Linked DNA regions of Oryzias latipes. The protein of the gene in region 1 purifies or fractionates together with the protein of each later gene. This does not show direct contact. Links are inferred from orthologs where the notes say so. Each region holds a gene or a part of one and is shown on either strand. Other genes may lie near its edges.

What was found.
Region 2: the proteins of tubgcp2 (region 1) and mzt1 purify together in Homo sapiens (affinity purification with mass spectrometry; 4 studies listed by BioGRID and IntAct, counting the BioPlex papers as one, with this or other methods). This does not show direct contact. The link is inferred for Oryzias latipes from reciprocal best matches to the Homo sapiens genes TUBGCP2 and MZT1.

Annotation. Positions count from the first base shown.
Region 1 is NC_019877.2:19,482,196-19,491,556, forward strand, and holds part of tubgcp2 (gamma-tubulin complex component 2), read left to right. Parts: coding exon 1-93; intron 94-236; coding exon 237-396; intron 397-464; coding exon 465-672; intron 673-1,101; coding exon 1,102-1,301; intron 1,302-3,353; coding exon 3,354-3,543; intron 3,544-3,622; coding exon 3,623-3,768; intron 3,769-3,843; coding exon 3,844-4,024; intron 4,025-4,173; coding exon 4,174-4,354; intron 4,355-5,532; coding exon 5,533-5,705; intron 5,706-6,762; coding exon 6,763-6,891; intron 6,892-6,970; coding exon 6,971-7,091; intron 7,092-7,168; coding exon 7,169-7,312; intron 7,313-7,590; coding exon 7,591-7,692; intron 7,693-7,771; coding exon 7,772-7,935; intron 7,936-9,229; coding exon 9,230-9,305; 3' UTR 9,306-9,361. UniProt on the Homo sapiens protein: Component of the gamma-tubulin ring complex (gTuRC) which mediates microtubule nucleation.
Region 2 is NC_019873.2:18,602,675-18,612,698, reverse strand, and holds mzt1 (mitotic-spindle organizing protein 1), read left to right. Parts: upstream 1-3,504; 5' UTR 3,505-3,805; coding exon 3,806-3,857; intron 3,858-3,962; coding exon 3,963-4,108; intron 4,109-5,592; coding exon 5,593-5,616; 3' UTR 5,617-6,076; downstream 6,077-10,024. Other genes in the region: bora (protein aurora borealis), read right to left, coding at 115-255, 340-890, 978-1,140, 1,324-1,595, 1,670-1,726, 1,845-1,889, 1,992-2,070, 2,176-2,221 and 2 more. UniProt on the Homo sapiens protein: Required for the recruitment and the assembly of the gamma-tubulin ring complex (gTuRC) at the centrosome.

The DNA.
Region 1 (9,361 bases):
CTCCCTCAGTCCAGCGCCAAGATGTCCATGCAGGAGTTGGATGAGCTGCGGAAGAAGCTTGGCAACGTGACGGCCAGCTCCAACGCCCCACTGGTGAAGAGTTTTCAATTTTCTTACAGCATGCCTGAAATATGTATACATGGAAAAAAAGATTGACTCTCCCATTTTCTTTCAGTCTTTTTAAAATAAGTCTGTATTTTGGTAAATGCTGCTGTTGCTCATCATTGTTTCTGCAGCCCGCTGAAGTCACCAGGAAGATGTTGAGAGACAAACACAACAAGAAGAACCCCACGCAACCAAACCCTGTGTTCCCTAATTGGGTGTATGACCGTCCAGCCCTCATTGGAGACTTCATCACAAGCCCCACTGCAGCTGGAGACCTGACTGTAGCTGTTGGTAAGAGTGCCGTTCTGCTCAGACCTCTGATTCCGGTTTCACTTTTAATCCTTTCATTGTCCGTTCAGGTACGCTGCCTCTGGCGACCCAGGAGCAGGCCCTGGTGGAGGATCTGCTCTTTGTTCTGGTTGGAGTTGATGGGCGGGACATCACAGCTCAGCCCGTCCTGGGGAGGCAGAACCGCTCTTTCATCGTTGATGCGACACTGGACATGTCCGTGAAGGAGCTGGTGAACAGAATCCTTCCTGTTGCATCGTATTACTCCACTATAACTCGGTAAACGCTGGTTTCAGTTCACCTCTTCTCACTGAAAAACAGTCAAATTCTGCTTTCCTGGACAATCCTTTAGATTTGATCTCTGCTTTTTGGGCCACGTTTGAGACAAACTTCTGTTGGAATATTGAATAACAAAAATAAACTCATTTTTGACATACAAACCTTGAAAAGTTAATTTAATAATGGATAAATATTATTCTAACAAGTTTAAAATGTAAAAAGAGATCTAAAACCCAAATAAATTCCAATCAGACCAGAGAAAATTGAAATGATAAATGGCAGAAAACCATACAATCATTTGCTATCTTTAGGACAGTCACTCTTTTATTTTAAAATGATGATTTTAATTCTAGAAAATCTTCTTAATGAAAATTTAGACGTTAATATTTCTGTGAACGTTATTGTCAAATGGTTTTAAACCTTTTGCAGGTTCATCGAAGAGAAGTCCTCCTTTGAGTACGGCCAGGTGAACCACGCTCTGACGGCAGCGATGAGGACCCTGATGAAGGAGTACCTCATCTTGGTCACTCAACTGGAGCACCTGCAGCGGCAGGGCCTGCTGTCCCTGCAGAAGCTTTGGTTCTACATCCAGCCCACCATGAGGACCATGGAGATCTTGGCGTCCATTGGTGAGAGGCTGACTGGGAATGTCCAGACTTTAAAGTCCCACTTCTGTCATCTTTTGATCTATTTTAATGAAAGTGTTCCCGGAGGTCCTTTACTACGATTATATAGTTTTTAGCCAAAATCCAAAAGTCTGTGTCGTTTTTTAAGACATTAAATAAAGAAAATTAAGATAAAACATCGTTAGAGTATTTCTCTATTGTGTTGACTCAGGAGCAGACGAAAAAATGCTGTTTAAAAAAGCTTGTAGTTGTGACGTACAAACTACAGTCGACAGGTCACAAGCTCCCTGCTCTGCTCCATTCCGATGCATCCACTTACAGACAAACAGATTCATGAACGTCTTCGTTTTCCTCGTCAGAGCTGGAATCTGGATCTAAATTGTACGGCTGGATAGCTCTGACATTGCTCGCCATTTTTGTTTGCATCTGTGATTGCTCGGGTTCTGAGGGGCTGTAAGGTAGCACGAGAGAGTGTGGACAGAGGACTAATGGAAAATGAATGCAAGCTTACTGCGCACCACTGGTCTTCCCAACTCAGAGGAGAGTTTCTGATGAACTCCTGCCGCTCTGCAGAAACTAGAAAAACAACACCTATTTTTTTTTATTTTGGCCAAAAGCAGCATAAATATAGTGAACACTTTGAAAATAGATCAAAAGATGATCGAAGTGCAATCCAATTTTCTTTAATTTACTTAACAGGGGAATTTTCTTTTTTCTCATGCTGTGGAAGTTTTAATCTTTTTACAAGGATTCTTATAATTAGTAAAAGATGCAGTTGCATTTTTTACCATTTCATTGTCTTGCATTTACTTTTTTTTAAGTAAGTTTCAGCCTTTAAGCCACAGTCTTTTTAAATTAAATTAAATTAAATTAAATTTTTAAATCAGAAAATCGTGGCACTAAAATAGGTTTTAATTTATTGCAGGTATGTTACCTCAGTGAGCACTTTGCAAGCTGTAGCGAACTTTACTTAAACCTTAATGATTTAGCTGCTGTTTACATTTACAAAGGATATTTGTGGACTTGAAAAGTCACAATCCTGTTTGATTTGTGCTCAGTGTACCAGTTTTTTTCTAATACTTTTAGCCAACCATGCAATAAAAAAATACCTATTTAGTGACCGTGAAAGTACGGGCGTGCTTTACTTTCAAATAAAGTTTGTACTCATTCAGATGTGTGCAAATGTTGTAAAAGTCCTTAATAGTTGCCCTTTGTGTAAGTGTAATCTACACTGACAGCCGATCCCTCAACACTGTTGTATCTTTAGTTAAGTTTGAGGTTCTTCTTGCAGAAGCAGCTTCTCATTTGAACCACCAGGGGGAGCTTTGAGTCAGTTTTCTTCCAAATTTTATTTAGGAAAATTGAGAAAGTTATAAAACCGTACATTTAAATTCACTTAGGTCCAATTTTGGACCCATGACTTATATCTCCATTCTCAACATTTCTTTTCTTTTTTCCATAACATAACTTGGTGTCTAACAAAACACAAAACAGGGAACAGCGGATGCATTATGAGGGAAAGAAGTAAACAAAAAACACACTAAAACATTCAACTTGATTATAATTACAAGCCAGACATTCATTACTTCCATTTGTTGTAAGTGATTAACATAGAATATCCATTGTGGGCATCTGTTTCCGAAGTGAATAGGTTAGTCTTTCTATCTGGCAGATTTCATTTACAATGTCTATCCAATTGTCCAAGCTGGGTACAGTGGGGAGGAGCCAGTGTCTAGTCACTGCTTTTTATTACCAGTGGGTATTAATATTCTGAATAAAATTTTCATTGGTAGGTGGGAGTTGTGTCTTACAGACTGATAAAATCACAGGGTATTGTCTTATTTGATATATATTCAATATGTTTATGTATTTCCTTCCAAAAAATTTTTATAATGGGACAATCCCAAAATATGTGGTAATGGTCGGCTTCTACTTCTCCCCACTGTTTGAGTCAATTTTCACAACCTCTGTGGTCTCTGGATTTTCTGAATTATAGATAAAGCAGGACAGAAAACAGGAATACAGACGGGTTTATTGAAATCTGCTGTTTTCCAGCCTCCTCTGTGGACAAAGGAGAGTGCATGGGCGGAGCAACGCTTAGCCTTCTGCATGACCGGACCTTCAACTACACAGGTGACAGCCAGGCGCAGGAGCTGTGCCTCTACCTCACTAAAGCCGCCAGCGTGCCGTACTTTGAAATTTTGGAGAAGTGGATTTACAGAGGCATCATCAAGGATCCGTACAGGTCTGCATTCAGAGGGGAGACAAAAAATCCTGATAAGGGGTTTCCTGGCGCTCACAGATTCTCCTGTTCTCCACTTCAGTGAGTTCATGGTGGAGGAGCATGAGCTGCAAAAGGAGAAGATCCAGGAGGATTATAATGACAAGTACTGGGACCAGAGGTACACCATTGTACAGCATCGAATCCCCTCCTTTCTCCAGAAAATGGCAGACAAAATTCTGAGCACAGGTACAGGGACACAGACCCAAACAGGAAGAGAGACGTGACTTTCTACGCATAAGACTTATAGATGACACTTTACAGGGAAATACCTGAACGTGGTGCGAGAGTGCGGCCGAGATGTGACCTGTCCTGACGCTAAGGAGGTTCTGTACACCCTGAAGGAGCGGGCCTATGTGGAGCAGATTGAGAAGGCCTACAACTACGCCAGCAAGGTCCTCCTGGACTTCCTCATGGAAGAGAAGGAGCTGGTTTCTCGTCTGAGGTAAACCGTTTTCTTTGTCCAGAATAGCTTTTTTCTTTTTCTTTTGTCTATTAAGTCTAGATTTCCATGAAAGGTTAGCATCTTTACTGCTCACAATAATGACATATTAACAGTTATTACATTAACAATTGTAATTTTGTTTTTGCCAGATCCATCAAGCACTACTTCCTGATGGACAAAGGAGATTTCTTTGTGCACTTCATGGATCTGACAGAAGAGGAGCTGAAGAAGCCGGTGGACGACATCGTCCCCCCCAGACTTGAAGCTCTGCTGGAGCTGGCTCTGAGGATGAGCACCGCCAACACGGACCCCTTTAAAGACGACCTCAAGGTGGGGCCAACAAATTTCAAACAGAGATCCACCGATGTGGGGTTTTTTTTCAGGACCGATGCAGATTATTACCGGTAGTCAAGAAGGCTGATAATCAATATTTAGAGCCAATATTCATTTACTGTAAAAAGAAACTTATTAATGGCATAATCCTCGCTGAAGATGAAGGAATGATGAGGATGGTGTGCAAAGAAACTTTCTTGCATGTTTGCATGTTGCCTCTGAGCAGAGGAGGGAGGGGCTGGGGTTATACCTGCGCATGGAGCAGCTGAGGTGCTTGCGCTGTTTCTTTTTTTCCTCTTACTACAGGCTGGACAAACGTTTTCTAACGCACCATTAACATCGTTGAAAGACATTTGCATTGGCGCCTTAACTCATTAAAGGTGACGGCCCTAGTTGCTAGTAGTGTGGCACAGGGCTGTGGCCGGATACTGCTGAAGACCGCTCAGTGCTGCTGCATCAGAGCCAAAATAACCAGTTCAAAAACGGTCCGTTGGATTAAAAAAGAAAAGGCTGATGCAGACATGCATCAAAATAACAAATATCAGTGCCGATAACTGGCCTGGCCAATAATCTTGAGTCCAAGGTTTCTCTTAATCATTGACGTCCACTGGGCTCCACATCCATCATGTTTTCTGTTACTCTGCTTCAACAGATGAGCTCTAGTGAAGTCATAAGTGAGCCGTCCCAGACCCTTTTGATCAGGCTTTTTCTAGGGCTTTCATTGAGGGGCGGGGCTCTGTGCTGGAGGGGCAGACCTCTGTCCAAACTGAAGGCAGCTGCTTTGTCTGGGTGTTACTGAGAGGCTTTTATTTTGCAGGGTTTTAATCCTAAACATTTCCAGTGTTTAAAATGATTTTAAACAAAAGCAACTGAATAATGGAAACTAATGTGTTATCTTCTGACTCAATAGCACCTTTAGAGCTATTTAAAAGAAAAATTCAACCAAACCAAGCTGTGGGATTTTCCTGACAAACACACAAGGTCACATTTTCTCTGTGGACACTTTTTCCTGCAGGAAATTTTGGGTTTTAACAACAGAAAAATGCACATTAGGTCTGTTTACCAATTTAGTATTAAAGGTAGCCATCAAAATAACTGATAACGCATCTCAATGCCCCTCTTACTTTATTCAGATTTGTATTTTATTCCTCAAAACGCTGCTGTTCTTTCTCCAGATTGACCTGATGCCTCACGATGTGATCACTCAGCTGCTGCGAGTGCTGGCCATCGAGACCAAACAGGAGAAGGCCATCATCAACGCTGAGCAGGCGGACGCGGCTCTCAGCGGCCTGGAGGCCTTCTCCTTCGACTACATTGTTAAGTGGCCGCTCTCGCTCATCATCAACAGGTCGGTCGGAAATCTTTACAACTGAGCAGTCCAGCTCAATGTTTGTTCTTTCTTGTGTACCTTGACCATAAATAGAAAATGGGATATGAACCAGTGGTCTCCAGCCGCAAACCGGTACCGGTACACTTGGTACTGAGCCGCAGAGAGAGAGGAAAATAAAAAAGAGGCCTATATTTTTACTATTTTATTTCTAATCTGATTCTTAAGGAAATTTTATTTAGGAAAACTACTGGATTCTCTCAAACACATCCAGCACATTCTTGACGCATGTCAAGCCCTGCAGTCACGTATTGAAAATCCATCTACCATTTTCTTAAAGCAGCTGTGCCAACCGCTAAACTGAAATCCCCAAGCTAGCAAAGTTAAGAAAAAACAAACGTTTCTTTTGGCAGAAAATAATCTTCTGTGAAGAAACAGAAGAAGTGCCTTTGACTTAAAAAAAAAAATGCAATCTGCATTTAACAGACAAAAACCAGGAGTCTGTACTGCAAATATGGATTTATTGTGACAGTTGTTCCCACATACCATAATTATAATGCATAATAGTTATCAACCAGCTGTCTAAAGTAAAGTTTAAAGCAGATGCAGATGTTTTACAGGGGATGAAGATAAACTTTACCCTTAAAAATTAAGAGAAGGAAAAATAAAATCTGATGCCCACTTTAGCCTCATTTGCGGTCAGTGAAAATATTGTCTGACATTAAACCGGTCCATGGTTTGAAAAAAGGCAGCGACCACGGGTAAAAAAATGTAAAAGCAAAAGATGGTAACACTGACATCTAGTGTTTAGAAGAGGTAGTGCAACAAAGATTCATAACAGGAAGGTTTTTTTTTAAGCTATTTTATTTTTACAAGCCTGTAAAGCAGTTAAAGGCCAGTAGAGCCTCAAATAAGCTGGATTTAGGTGATTTTAATTCACCGATGCTTTGGGGTGTTTCGACACACACAGTTGTTGCTCAGCTGTATTAGAAATTTAAAGCTCTATGGCACACGAATGAATGATGTTTCAATAAATGATGACATTTTGTGCTAATAACAGCTCGTGTTTGTTGTTCAGAAAAGCGCTAACAAGATACCAGATGTTATTCAGACACATGTTCTTCTGCAAACATGTGGAGCGGCTGCTGTGCAACGTGTGGATCAGCAACAAAGACTTCAAGCTGTACTCCTTGCACTGTGCCAAATGGTGAGCTGACATCATTTCATGGACGCTTTGGTTAAATATCAGTCAGAAAAAGTCCTCAGACTCTGCGATCTGTGTTTAGGTTTGCAGCGGCGTTCGCCCTGCGCCAGCGCATGCTTAACTTTGTGCAGAACATCCAGTACTACATGATGTTTGAGGTGATGGAGCCCACATGGCACATCATGGAGAACAACCTGAAAACAGTGAGTGAAGAAGCCTGCAGGAAGACGTGATGCTTCCAGCTTTTTGGAGCTGAGACGTGTCTGCTCTCCTTCACCAGGCCTCCAACATTGATGATGTGCTGTGCCACCACACCAGTTTCCTGGACAACTGCCTGAAGGACTGCATGTTGACCAACCCGGAGCTTCTAAGGATCTTCTCCAAACTCATGACCGTCTGTGTCATGTTCACAAACAGCATGCAGGTTTGTTGTAGAGGAAAAAAACAAGATTGCACTGCTTCTTCTTCTTTTAACGCTGCATCCTGATTTATGTAGTTTTAATGTCTATGTTAACTTTAAGGAAGATTTAGATGTAAAATGAAAGATTTTACATGACTATTAAAGTTTGATGTATATGTTGACATGCTTTTATGCAGACAATGGTTCCATGGTTGAAGTGTTTCAGATAAAACCGTTTTATATAAGCCTTTTTTTAAATAGTTAACCTATTAAGTTGAAAAATGATGAATGTGTCACTGCAGCGGTTCACACAGACCATGAGGTTGGAGCGTCTGTCTCGAGAGCAGGGGACGATGGACGAAGCTCCAAGTCAGAGTGAAGCCGAGAAGAAGCTCAGCACAAAGGTCTTTGAAATCTCTGAAGGGTTTTCTGCTCAGGTCACATTTTATTGACAATTTTTTTTTCTTCTCTCATTTGTGTCAGTTTTCAGCCGAGCAGGTGGACGCTCTGCAGTCGGACGCCAGTTTTGAAGCCACCATCAGCAAGTTTGACAGTAACTTCAGTATGCTGCTGTTGGACCTGCTGGACAAACTCAGCATCTACAGCACCAATGACTGTGAGCACAGCATGATCAGCATCATCTACAGGTGAGACGCCGGCCCACAGCTCCGGGTTTGTTTGTTTGTCCGTTTGTTTGTTTGTTTGTTGTGTAGTGGGGGAATTTCCCATGAAGCTCTGAGTGTTTTTGCATGGAGGTTTTTGTCACCCATAATCCAAATCGGATTGTATTCTCAATTTGCATTTTGAAAATACATTATGTAATTTAGAATTTAAAAAGAAAATGTATTCAATTCAGTCTTCCTTTTTTTAAATTCAAGTTTAAATAAAGAAAAATCCATTGGGTTTGAGATTTTCCTGGCTTTTTGGTACCAACATTTAAAAAATGAAAATGCATTTTTATAACTGTCAGTTCAATATGCAAGTTGGTCATGCGTTTTGAAAAAATACATTATGCTGCAGTTTTTGGAAATAGCATATAAAGCAAAAAAAAAAGCATTTTCAGTCTGTACATAAGCAATCATTCTTAAAAAAACAAAATAAAACAAAATAAAGTTTCAAATAAGACCAAGCTTTATTTCTTTTAAATAGAATAGAATAGAATAGAATAGAATAGAATAGAATAGAATAGAATAGAATAGAATAGAATGGCTTTATTGTCATTGTGCATAGTACAATGAGATTTAAGCTTCACCATCAGTGCAAGAACAGTAAGGGAGGGAAAGGTAGTAAATAAAACATTGTAATATAATAAAATCAAAAAAGCGAACAAACAGTATATACAAGTGTGCAATATAAGCTGTAAACTGTATTGAAGAGTGCCGAGATAATTGTGCAAAAATTGCGTATGAAAAAAAAAAAAAAACTGTGCGTAGACATGTCAAAAGTGCAGAGGTGGCAATGAGGTAGATAGTTGGAGTAAACAGGAATGTTTTTTTTTCATCTGTGCATTTGGGAATTGAGGATGGTTATTGCCTTTGGAAAGAAGCTGTTTTTTAGTCTGTTCGTTTTGCTTCTGATTCCTCTGTAGCGCCTCCCAGAGGGCATCAGGTTGAACAGGTCTGAGCCGGGGTGTGAACTGTCCTTAATGATGTTTTGAGCCCTAGTGAGACAGCGCGCGGAGTAGATGTCCGTCAGGGTGGGGAGAGGGCACCCAATGATTTTCTGAGCCGTCTCTACGACTCTCTGCAGTCTCTTTTTATCCGCGGCCGTGCAGCTGCCGAACCACTTGATCTATTATCAAAGCGGTCCCAGTGGTCTTGATTATGTTTATGCTTAGGATTTATCAAACAACACGTGGAGCTGAAATGCACAGAATATTGTTTGTTTTGATCAGCTTGACCCATTCATTAAAATAACGTTTTTCTGAATATGACTTTTCAGGCTGGACTTCAATGGATTCTACACTGAGCGGTTGGAGAGGATGGCCATTGAGCGCAGTCAGAAAGCAGCAGCATAGTTGTCATCTGTGTTTCATTAGCTGTCATACAGCAGACGCTAGCTTTAGCTGCAGAC
Region 2 (10,024 bases), on another chromosome or scaffold:
ATAAAATGTTGTTCAAGTAGCTCAAGTCATCGACTGATCTTGGGATCCCACTGCTACCAATTTTTTTTTTTAATAGCTTAGGCGAAAAAAAAACAGTCTTATACACGACCTTACCTTAACTTTTGTGTGTCGAATAATAGGGATAGCTTCTTCCACCATGTTAGAGTTCAGGGACTCTTTGCTCTGAAGGTCAGAGCCTAGGCCGTCAATGAGGCTAGCAGTGCCTGCTGAGGTAGTGTTATAGCCGCTATCCACCTGAACAAAAGAAGGGGAAACATTCACTTAGACCTTCATTAAACAATTACAGTTTGTGTTGGAGCAAATGTTTGTTTAAAAAACCTGCATGCTGGAGTCATAGCGGATGCTGCTTCCTTCTGCCAAAAGTGACAGAAACATCTGAGAGCTTTCTGTCCCAGACACATTGCCCATGCGAGAGCTGGTCAGCTGTCCCGAGGGTCGCTCATCTTCTTCCTCCTCCTCCTCTTCCTTGCCCATTTCCTTATCCTCTTCCATTTTTGTATGTTCCACAGTATCCACATAAACTCTGTCACTTTTAGTTGGGTGAAGGTCCTGACACTGAGGGAAGGATGGATCAAAATCCATAGAGGGAAGAAAAGATGGAGAGTCTGAATGTTGGTGTTCTTCTGGCTCTTGACTGTCTTGCAGCTTTGGGTTGAGAATTGGAGAAATGAGTGGAGGGGAAGCCCAGACACGGACTCTAGGTTTGGTTCTGGAGACGCGCGGAGGCTCCTTGTGATGTTGGAGCTGGTGTGGGGAGCAGCTACGAATTGGAGAGCAACCTTCAACAAAGGGACTCTCGTTGCAGGAGCTGACATCTACATCCAGGGGAATAGACAGTGGGGTCACGTTGCATCGCTGTTTTCTTTCAACTAACACGAGAACAGGCACAGATTAAGGATAAAAAGCCAAATATAATCCAGCAATATTTACATTTTTAAAACAGTGAAATGCTCTACCTGAGCCTACAGGAGTGTGTGCAAAATCAGCAAGAATTGGAGAGATTGTTGGGGAACCATGGCCAGCAGGAGATGATCTATCAGGAAACAGAGGGCTGCCAATACTGCCAAGGCTACAGTCCCTGATGCAGCCATGTTGGATAGGACTAGAGGAGAACTGGCCCTTCGTTTAAGAGAAGTAAAGCTAATTTTAGTCATGCATGTCTTCATCTATTTTTATGCAAACATTTAAAGGGGCAAAAGATACTCATTTTTTACAGCTTTACATGATTTCTATCCTATGACCCATTTAAAAAAAAAATACCTGGCAACCCAATTCTCTATTTTTTGACACACTGAAACTTACAGTAGAAGGAGTCGGGGCAGAGATCCCGCATGACAAAGGAGAAGAAAAAACTGGATTTTCTCCCTCAGAGCACATGGGTCTCGGTCCGCTTCCTTGTCTTTTGGTAGGAAGCCTCTCAGCTCGGACATGAGCTCTTTCTGGACTCGGTGGAGTGGAGCTGTCAGAGCTGCTGTAGCTAAACTGTCCATCGAGAAAGAGTTTTCTCCTCAAGGAGGAGGAACTGAGGCTCTCCTGCACTGCATCACAAGCCTCATCGTTACGGTAATATTCTCCTAAGAATAAGAAAGAAATGTGACTTAAAACTTTCATTTCAATGATTCTCCTCTTACATTTAACAGAAGCTTACCAAGTAGTTTTTCCAAATCAAATGTTGAAGGCAGCGAAAGGACCGTCTGGCAACCAACTGTAAGATAAAAAGATGCAGTTTATGGAAAACTAAAGCAAATGAACAAATTTAACAAATTCTAATAATTTTAGATCCCTTCTTTTTTTCTTTTTTTTTAATACGAACATGCACCAACCTGAGATTTTTTCTGTCTGTTCTGCAGCTGTTTCAGACAAGGGACCTAAAACAACAAGACAAAACAACAAATGGTTAAATACACATTAATATTACTAAAAACAAGGAATACTTGAAAGTTATTATTCCAAACAGTTGGATATCTTACTTTTCTTATAAATATGAGGGGCTCTGCGAGTTTCTGCTGCTGCCCAAGGAGAAGGCACTATGGCTCCTTTGGTAAAAAACTTTATTCAGCAAGACAAAAGACATGAGTAAATCAGTAAATTGTCAACAAGACTTCTACTGAATTATTGCAATTTTAAAAAAAGATTGCTTTTAAAGTCCAAAACCTGCTCAATAGCACTCTGAAATTTTTCTTCAACATCAGAATCGGTCCTGAAATATAATAAGAAAATAATTTAGGTATTTAGATCTGCACAATAAATCACAGAGCTATCGCCATCTTGTTATCAGCCTGTGCAGTATGCGTATCGCAGAAGACAGTGCAATAAATCATACCATAAATGTTTACACACATGCCTAAACAATCTTATGGCAGCTTGAAGTGTTTCAAATTCAAAATAGCCTGTTAAGCTTTTGACTAATTGGATGGAGCCCTTTTATGTTAGATGCTTCCCTCCTATCAGGTAAAAGATCATTTGGAGTATAAATCAAGTTATACTGACTTTTATTTTGATAAAACTGTTGCAGTGAAATGAAAAAGATGTATTAGTTGTTTCATGTTTTACTTTGGGTTCATGTATCGTAAGTCACATCGTCATCGCAATATTGATCACCAATATCGCGAGTTTTCCTGATATCGTGCAGCCTTAGTTTAATTACAGTTTGTAATTTGCCAAATATTTAAGACTGGAATGCAATCAAAGATTTGCCACTGTTAACAAAATAAGGGATTCAGGACACACCTTGTCTGGCTGAGGTAAAAAGACTGTCGCTGGATTTCTTCTGGGTCTATGTGCACTGGGAGAAGGCTGGCCATTTCATCAATAGACCAGTTAAATCTTGGAGGGGTCTACAGAAAAGACAAGATATGAGACAAAACTACACAGCAGCCTTAAGACACATTTCTCGAAGTAAAAATTGCAAAACACACTTGCAAAAACCGGTTTCAGCTTGACTGTGTAAATAATATTCAATTTTAGTATAAGTTGTGGGTAAGAAATTAAACTTACAGCTTTACAGGACTTGGATTTAAAAACAGATGGGCTTGGAACCAAGGGTTCCCGGAGATGGTGGTAATCATTTGGACTCTCAAAGGGGTTTCTTATGGAAGGCCTGCCCGGAGTCTCTGGAGTTATCTCTAGCTCGATACGGTCCCCCATCCTGGCTGAAAATTCAAATTCAAGTTATAAAGAAAATGTATTACAAAGTACACTTAAAAACATTTTAAGTGTAAACCAACATGTATTTTTTTTACTCGATCCGTTAGCTAGCTGTGATGTTAGCTTGCAAGGAAAACAACAGTTTTAAAATCAGTTCAAAAACAACATAACACCCATAATTTAATCCTTACCGACACTGACTATGTAATTGTTTTCCGCCCCTGGTACTTACATGTTTTATCTGACTTGGACTGTAAAGCGACTAAATCAAGAGAAAGTCTTCCCCTGTCGACTCCACAGTGGTATTAGGAAGAGAACAATTCAAACGTTTATTTCAATTTCGTCCACGGAGCCAGCCAACCAATAGAATCGTTACAGAAAGTTGTTGAGGACCAATAGCGACATCTGTGTCGTCATTTCCGCTGCTAGTTTGCGGACGGTGCATCAACTTTGATGCAAGCTAAATGCTAATGCGGCATTTTATCGTATGTCAGAATCCGAGTAAAGCAAATATGAGATATTTTAAACGCGGCCGTGTTGTTTAATTGAATTGTTTTCATCAACGTTTTATCAGGGTAACATATAAGCTGTTGTGTATCTGCTAGCAAGTTCTAGCTAGCTAACTAGCGTCATCGTAATGGCAAGTGCAGCTAATGCTAACCTGAACGCAGTCCGGGAGACTATGGACGGTAAATATTTTAACTTGTGTGCACATATTAGCATATTTAATAAGAATTTCAAGATTATCATTAAATCATTCTATTAATTTTAAACTTTTCGCTTTTCCTGAACAGTTCTGCTAGAGATTTCAAGACTGCTAAACACTGGTTTGGATATGGAGTCCTTGTCCATTTGTGTGAGGCTGTGTGAGCAAGGCATCAACCCTGAAGCTCTGTCTGCTGTCATCAAGGAGCTCCGAAAAGCTTCAGAGTCTCTGAAGGTAGAAGAGAAACTACCACATCTCATTACAGACCAAAACTTATGTCCGTGTTTTTTTCTTCTTTTAGTGTTATCGCGAGTTCTATAACCATTTGGAAACCATTTGTTAAGCTTGAGTGTCATTGTTTTTTTATTTTTACATTAAAGTCTGTAATGATAAACATCATATCAGTGTAAATAGTAGTGATGGGTTGATGATGCTTTAATGAGTTTGACACATCTCCCAAACTGTTGACTCTGACATAGTGTTGCTCCCTCTCTAGTGACCCCTGCAGTAATTCTGAAATCATTGCAGGTAAATAAAATAAGAACGGCATTTTTGGTGTTTTTAACATGTTCTTGTAGCACTTTTTTATGATTGATTACATATAATAGAAAATTAACATTAAAACAGCATTTTTGATTATTTCTTAATTAAGAAACCGGAGAAGTCAAATAATGCAGTTTGAAAAACTTGCAGTTGTGACATAGAAACAACAGCCATTAGGCCAAACTCCCTGCTCTGCTCTAGTCTGATGCCTCCACTGGCAGATGAATAAATTTATGTACATTTTTGTTTTCCTCGTCTGAGCTGGAATCTGGATCAAAGCTGTTCAGGTGGATGGCTCAAATATTGTTCACTATATTTGTTGCACCGCTAGTGTGAGCTTGGGGTTGTCAGGGACTCAGTTAGCGGGAGAGTGTAAACAAGGTGTCGCTCGTCCCATCATTAGAAAATAGAGCTGTGGTATTAAAGTATTTCAGTATTTTGACTTTTATTTAACACAAGTTGTTTGATTGATGCCCACATACTAGTGAATCCTTAAACTTGATTTTTTTTTCTCTTTAGAATATTTTCTACTATTTAAATTTATTAAATATTTTATCATCCTTGCCACATCAACCCAACGATACTCTAAGCTTTAAAGTGTAAACTCAAATATTTTAATTTATAATATCTTGCTTTTTTTATGTAAAAATGGCTAAACCTGCAACTAAATCTATGAATGAGAAAAGCCGAGGACTGAAAAACATTTGGCGCATACAGATGAATTAATTCTGTTACTAAACGTCCTGAAAACAGATCCTTATGGTTTGTAAATAGAAATATAGACATGAGTTTATTTTTTAAAGAAAATGTAATTAATTAAATTTTCTCTGAGCTTCAGAAAAGCTCAAATATACTTAACATAAGTCCAGCATTCAATTTGCACTTTTACAGAACTGGCTTTGTCTGGTTTTGCAAAGTGCTTTACAGCTTCTTTCCCATTCACATACACACTTGCTGCAAAACCCAATGATCCACATGCCGAAATGAAAGCTGTTAGACTTTTCATCTGGAGTACCTCGTGCGTAAACGTCAAGCCCAACAAGACACCGACATCTAGAGGGACTGGGATCAAACTGTTTTCTGTGTGATTAATAGACTGCCTTGTGTCCCACCTGAGCCACAGCCACACCATTTCAAACAATAAATCATGATGGTTTATTACTTTTTATTTTCAGGTTTCTGAGAATTGCACAACCTGAAGATGGAATCGGAGCCCATCTGTGCAGGACTTTAATAAGATCATCCCCTGTTCCTGGATCTTTACCAGCTTTCCCGCCTCAATCCCAATCATTTTGACAGTGACTCAAATGTTTTCTACTTTTTTCATTTGTTTGTTGTTGTTTAAAAGAAAATGACTTACATTTGTTGTTTTTCAAACACACAAGACACAGATCTGAGCAGCACTGTCAAGTTTAAGCCTTCTTTTGTTTTGTTTTTTCTCTAAGCAGCATGGATGTTGGGTTTGACTGTCAGAATGTTTTATATCAGAAACATGTTGGACATTATATGTTAAAATCTTTATTGATTTTTTTTTTCAATGTATATTATTGCACTATCATTTTTTTTCTTGGTCATTTATTGGCACAAATCTATTTCTGAAGGTCCTGTAAGTTTTCAATGGAATTGTGGGAAATAAAATGTTACCATCAGTGACCACAAGGGGGAGTTCTAGTCTTTGTTCTCAGTATTTATTTAATTGTTGGGATTTTAAAACAAATACCACTTTATATTATTTCTGATTAAAAAAAACTGTAATATACATTTAAAAAAATAATATTTGGCTTTAGTTTCTTTTTTGTACGTGTCATGGTCTAATTTTGGGTCAGCAGTATAACATAATAACCTTATTTGGTTGGATTTTACAACGGAAACAATCTTTCCTGTCAGACCAGGTGAAAGGGAGAACAGACTTGAAGAACAATGCATAAATACAGAAACAATGGAGGAGTGGCTGCCTCTCCAGCCAACAACATACTTCACAACAAAAAAGACACAAGCAAGGGTCATTCTTTACTGCAGGATATCCTGTAAATCCTTGCTCCTTTATGCCTGCACTTCATCCACCTAAAGGATCTAAGATATACTGCAAACTTGACAAAATAAAACAACTTTGATCTAGCTGTAATAGAGACCCTAGATCACATGTCTAACCAAACACCATTGTTTTGTTTCTCTGCTGTCTTTAGAGTAACTATTCATCTTCCATACAAGGGAAAATGCTGAGATCACAGAACATTTCTCCACAGGCCAATGTATGACCAACCCCTCATCCATACAGGCTCAGTTCAGTAATGCGTGTGTGGCTTTCCCTGTTAGAGACGTGTTTGTACAGTGTTGCAGATGTCTACAAATGAGTAACCCTTAAGCCATCTGACAGTTAAGCCCGACTCCTTCCTCACAGGCAGAGCCAGCATGTGCAGGACTGTGTGTGTAAGCATTTCTGTTTTCTGCTTTGTCTCGCCATCTTGACTGGCGGCCTGCGAGTCTAAATCTCCCCATCGCTGCTTTGATCTCTTAAAACAGTATCTCTCTCCCTCTTCTTCGATACCAGCACCGTGTCAGGCGTGCAGGACAGACGTGGTGCAGTCCTTCTTCTTGACAGTTCACAAACTTAAGCAACCTCAGGTCTCAGTGGGGGGCGAGCGGAGAGGTGTTGATGGAGAAAGAGCCACAACAAAATTTCTTTTTCTTTTGGAGTTATTCAGGGCTTGATTGGCTATTATGGGCGTGGGATTCAGGATGCATTGCTGTCTGTTTGATCTGTTTGGAGGGTTTCTCTTTATCCAAGCGAGTTACTTTGATCTCTCTTAAACAAAATATTCCCAAATCCCACAGTCCTTGCAGAGATTAGCGTCCACATATGCATAAACATCTAAGAGGTGTTGAACTAGGGCACTGGACAGATCACATGACTATATCAACCTAACAGGCAAGCAGGTCTTCACATCCAAACTTCTGAAGGTGTTTATATTCGAACGTCTGATAATTATCCGGGCTGAGGTTTATTTCTTTGATAAATGAGGGCAGTCTCATTTAAAAGTGAAAGATCTGAGTGGAGCTGTTGTATTTAAGGTATGTGCCTCGAATATTTTGATAATAATTAGACTGGTCTGCTCAGAGGTTCACCAAGTTTTATGTTTTCTAAACCTAAATTTGGACCTTGTTGTGCCTACTTTTTGGCTTTTGATTGGGATTTTTTTTGTTGATATTTTAAGATTGCTTTTAGGAGATACTTGTGTTCTGACAAAGTGCACTTAAGCAATCAAAAAAATTAATCCATGCATTTGTGAAACTTTGAAATTAGACTTTAAATTTACCAAAAAAAGCTGTTAAAACCTTTAAAATAGTCTTATCTTCACCATTATATACTCAAAATCATTGGCACAGCAGGATTTCAAGTAAAAATTAAAAAAGAAAATCAAAAATTAATAAGAAAAAATGTAAAGTTCCATGATCAGTTACTTACAAGTTTAGTGTTATTGAAGAAATTAAAGATGAAAAAGATAAAAAAATTAATTAGCACAAAAAGAGCATGATTGTGACCTGACAGTGCTGTCACTTTGGCTTGATAACATTCTTTTAGATTCCTAAAACTTGCTTTGTGACATAGCAGCATTTTCAAGTACGTTTTAGAGTGTAAAAATAGCATTAAAACTATGAAATATTTAAAAATTGAAAAGTAGCTGGTAAAGTACTGTATTGTGTTAATCAAAAGTCATAGAAAGCAGCACATTTTAAGTTTGAATTTAGGTTTTATTTAGTAGACCTGGGCTCATTAGGAAGCTGGTTCTTTCTGTGTGCAGCATCTTTGCTGCCTTTGCTTTTGCTTCCTACAGATCCCAGAGTCCCGCTGAGTCTGTGTGCCACAGGGAGATCAGAGATGTGTTTAGGGGGATTAGAATCAATTCTATATTTAACTGGAAGTCTGTGCAGAATATGAGTGGTGGGTTCAGATCTCCAGATTCCATTAAAAACTCTGAATGAGCTGCAGCTGTCTGTTTATAAAGACTAAATGAAAGACTGGTAAGTGAGTCCAACCTGCAGGAAAAGAAGGTGCAAATGAGCTTTGATGGTTAAACGCTGCTTGAGTTGTGGCCTTGATGCGAGACCTGTAGGTGGAGTCAATTGCAACTTTAAAAGAAATTAACTTGACATTTCATTTTTTTTATCCTTTAGAACCGAACTTATCAGAAATGTTTACCCTTTATTCCTTTTTTCAAAGATAACCTTATTGCATTTGTGTGGCTCTCGCTGCTGTGTCTTCCTGATTATGAGATTTAATTTAATTTTAAATTTGAAATTCTCAGTCAAAATGTCTTATTTTTGCTCAGTTTTAACTTAAATTAATGGCTTTCATTTTTTTTTTTTTGACACATCAAGGAGTCTGTAACTTTTTGGGCACCCTTTTTTAACTTTTTTATTGTTATTAACCAGGATAATCCCATTGAGATTAAAATCCTCCTTTGCAAGGGAATCCTGGCCAAGAGGCAGCCACAGTCAGTTTATAACTCACAGATATATTCAAACAGAACAATAAAAATATAATAAACATGATAAAAAAATATGACAACATAACATTTTAAAATTAAAATACTGAAACATAAAACAGTGAATCTTGAAAATAGTGAAATCGGTGATCAAGAGAAACAATTACCATAGATTAAAAAGTTCGTTTATATATATTTCGGATTTAGTTTCAGAGGACACATGCATCAAAATGCTTTTCCAAACAACTATTATTAATACATTAATTGTCAAAGAGGATTTACATATCAAAAGAAAAATGTGCTTCCATTGTTCTTTAGAAAGTTAATAATGGTATGTATTAAATTTTTTTTAATTTTTTTGTGTCTCTGCCTTTGCCAAAGTGACGTTCAACGCTGACATCCAGTTATCCAGCAGCATGTTTCCCAAAGACGTCAGGTGTGGGTGTGTATTCTGTCACAGAAGAGATCAATTAATTGTATTTCTGTGACTGGCCAAGCCTCTTTGACCCTCATCGTTCAGCAGTGCGAAGCTTCAGGGACTGTTTTTGCCCTATGAGGAGTTTTGTGACCTTGTTAGAGCTTTTCCCCCAATACATCACTTTTGATTAGATACAGGCCACCGTTTTACACCGTAAGATAGTGAGCAGCTCCCAATTAAATTCAGAGCAAGAAAATTGGATCATAAACTATGGAAAATATCATTAAAAGCCATTAGACACAATAATGGCATGACAATCAAAATATGTAAAAAAAAAAAAAAAACTTTCAATGTCTTTTCGTGACTTTGTTGCTTTTGGACATTTTCCAACACGATTAATGTAAAATTGATTGATTTACAGTTGTAATTAGCTGCACTCTGCTTAGCTGCATAGTAATCATATATTTCCTCGCTTATTTTAATGTATTAATTGTTTTCATTAACAAAAGCAGTTAATTGAATAACAATTAGCAAAGTTGATGATGGTGTCAGCACAACACACCCAAACTCCCTTGTGTTTTCCCTGTGATAATAATCAAGCCACTTTTTTTTATCAGATTGAAATTTTGTTTGTTGGACTATGTAATGACTAATATGACACAGAGCTTATTCATTTATTGGAGTAGTTCAGTGAGGCATTGT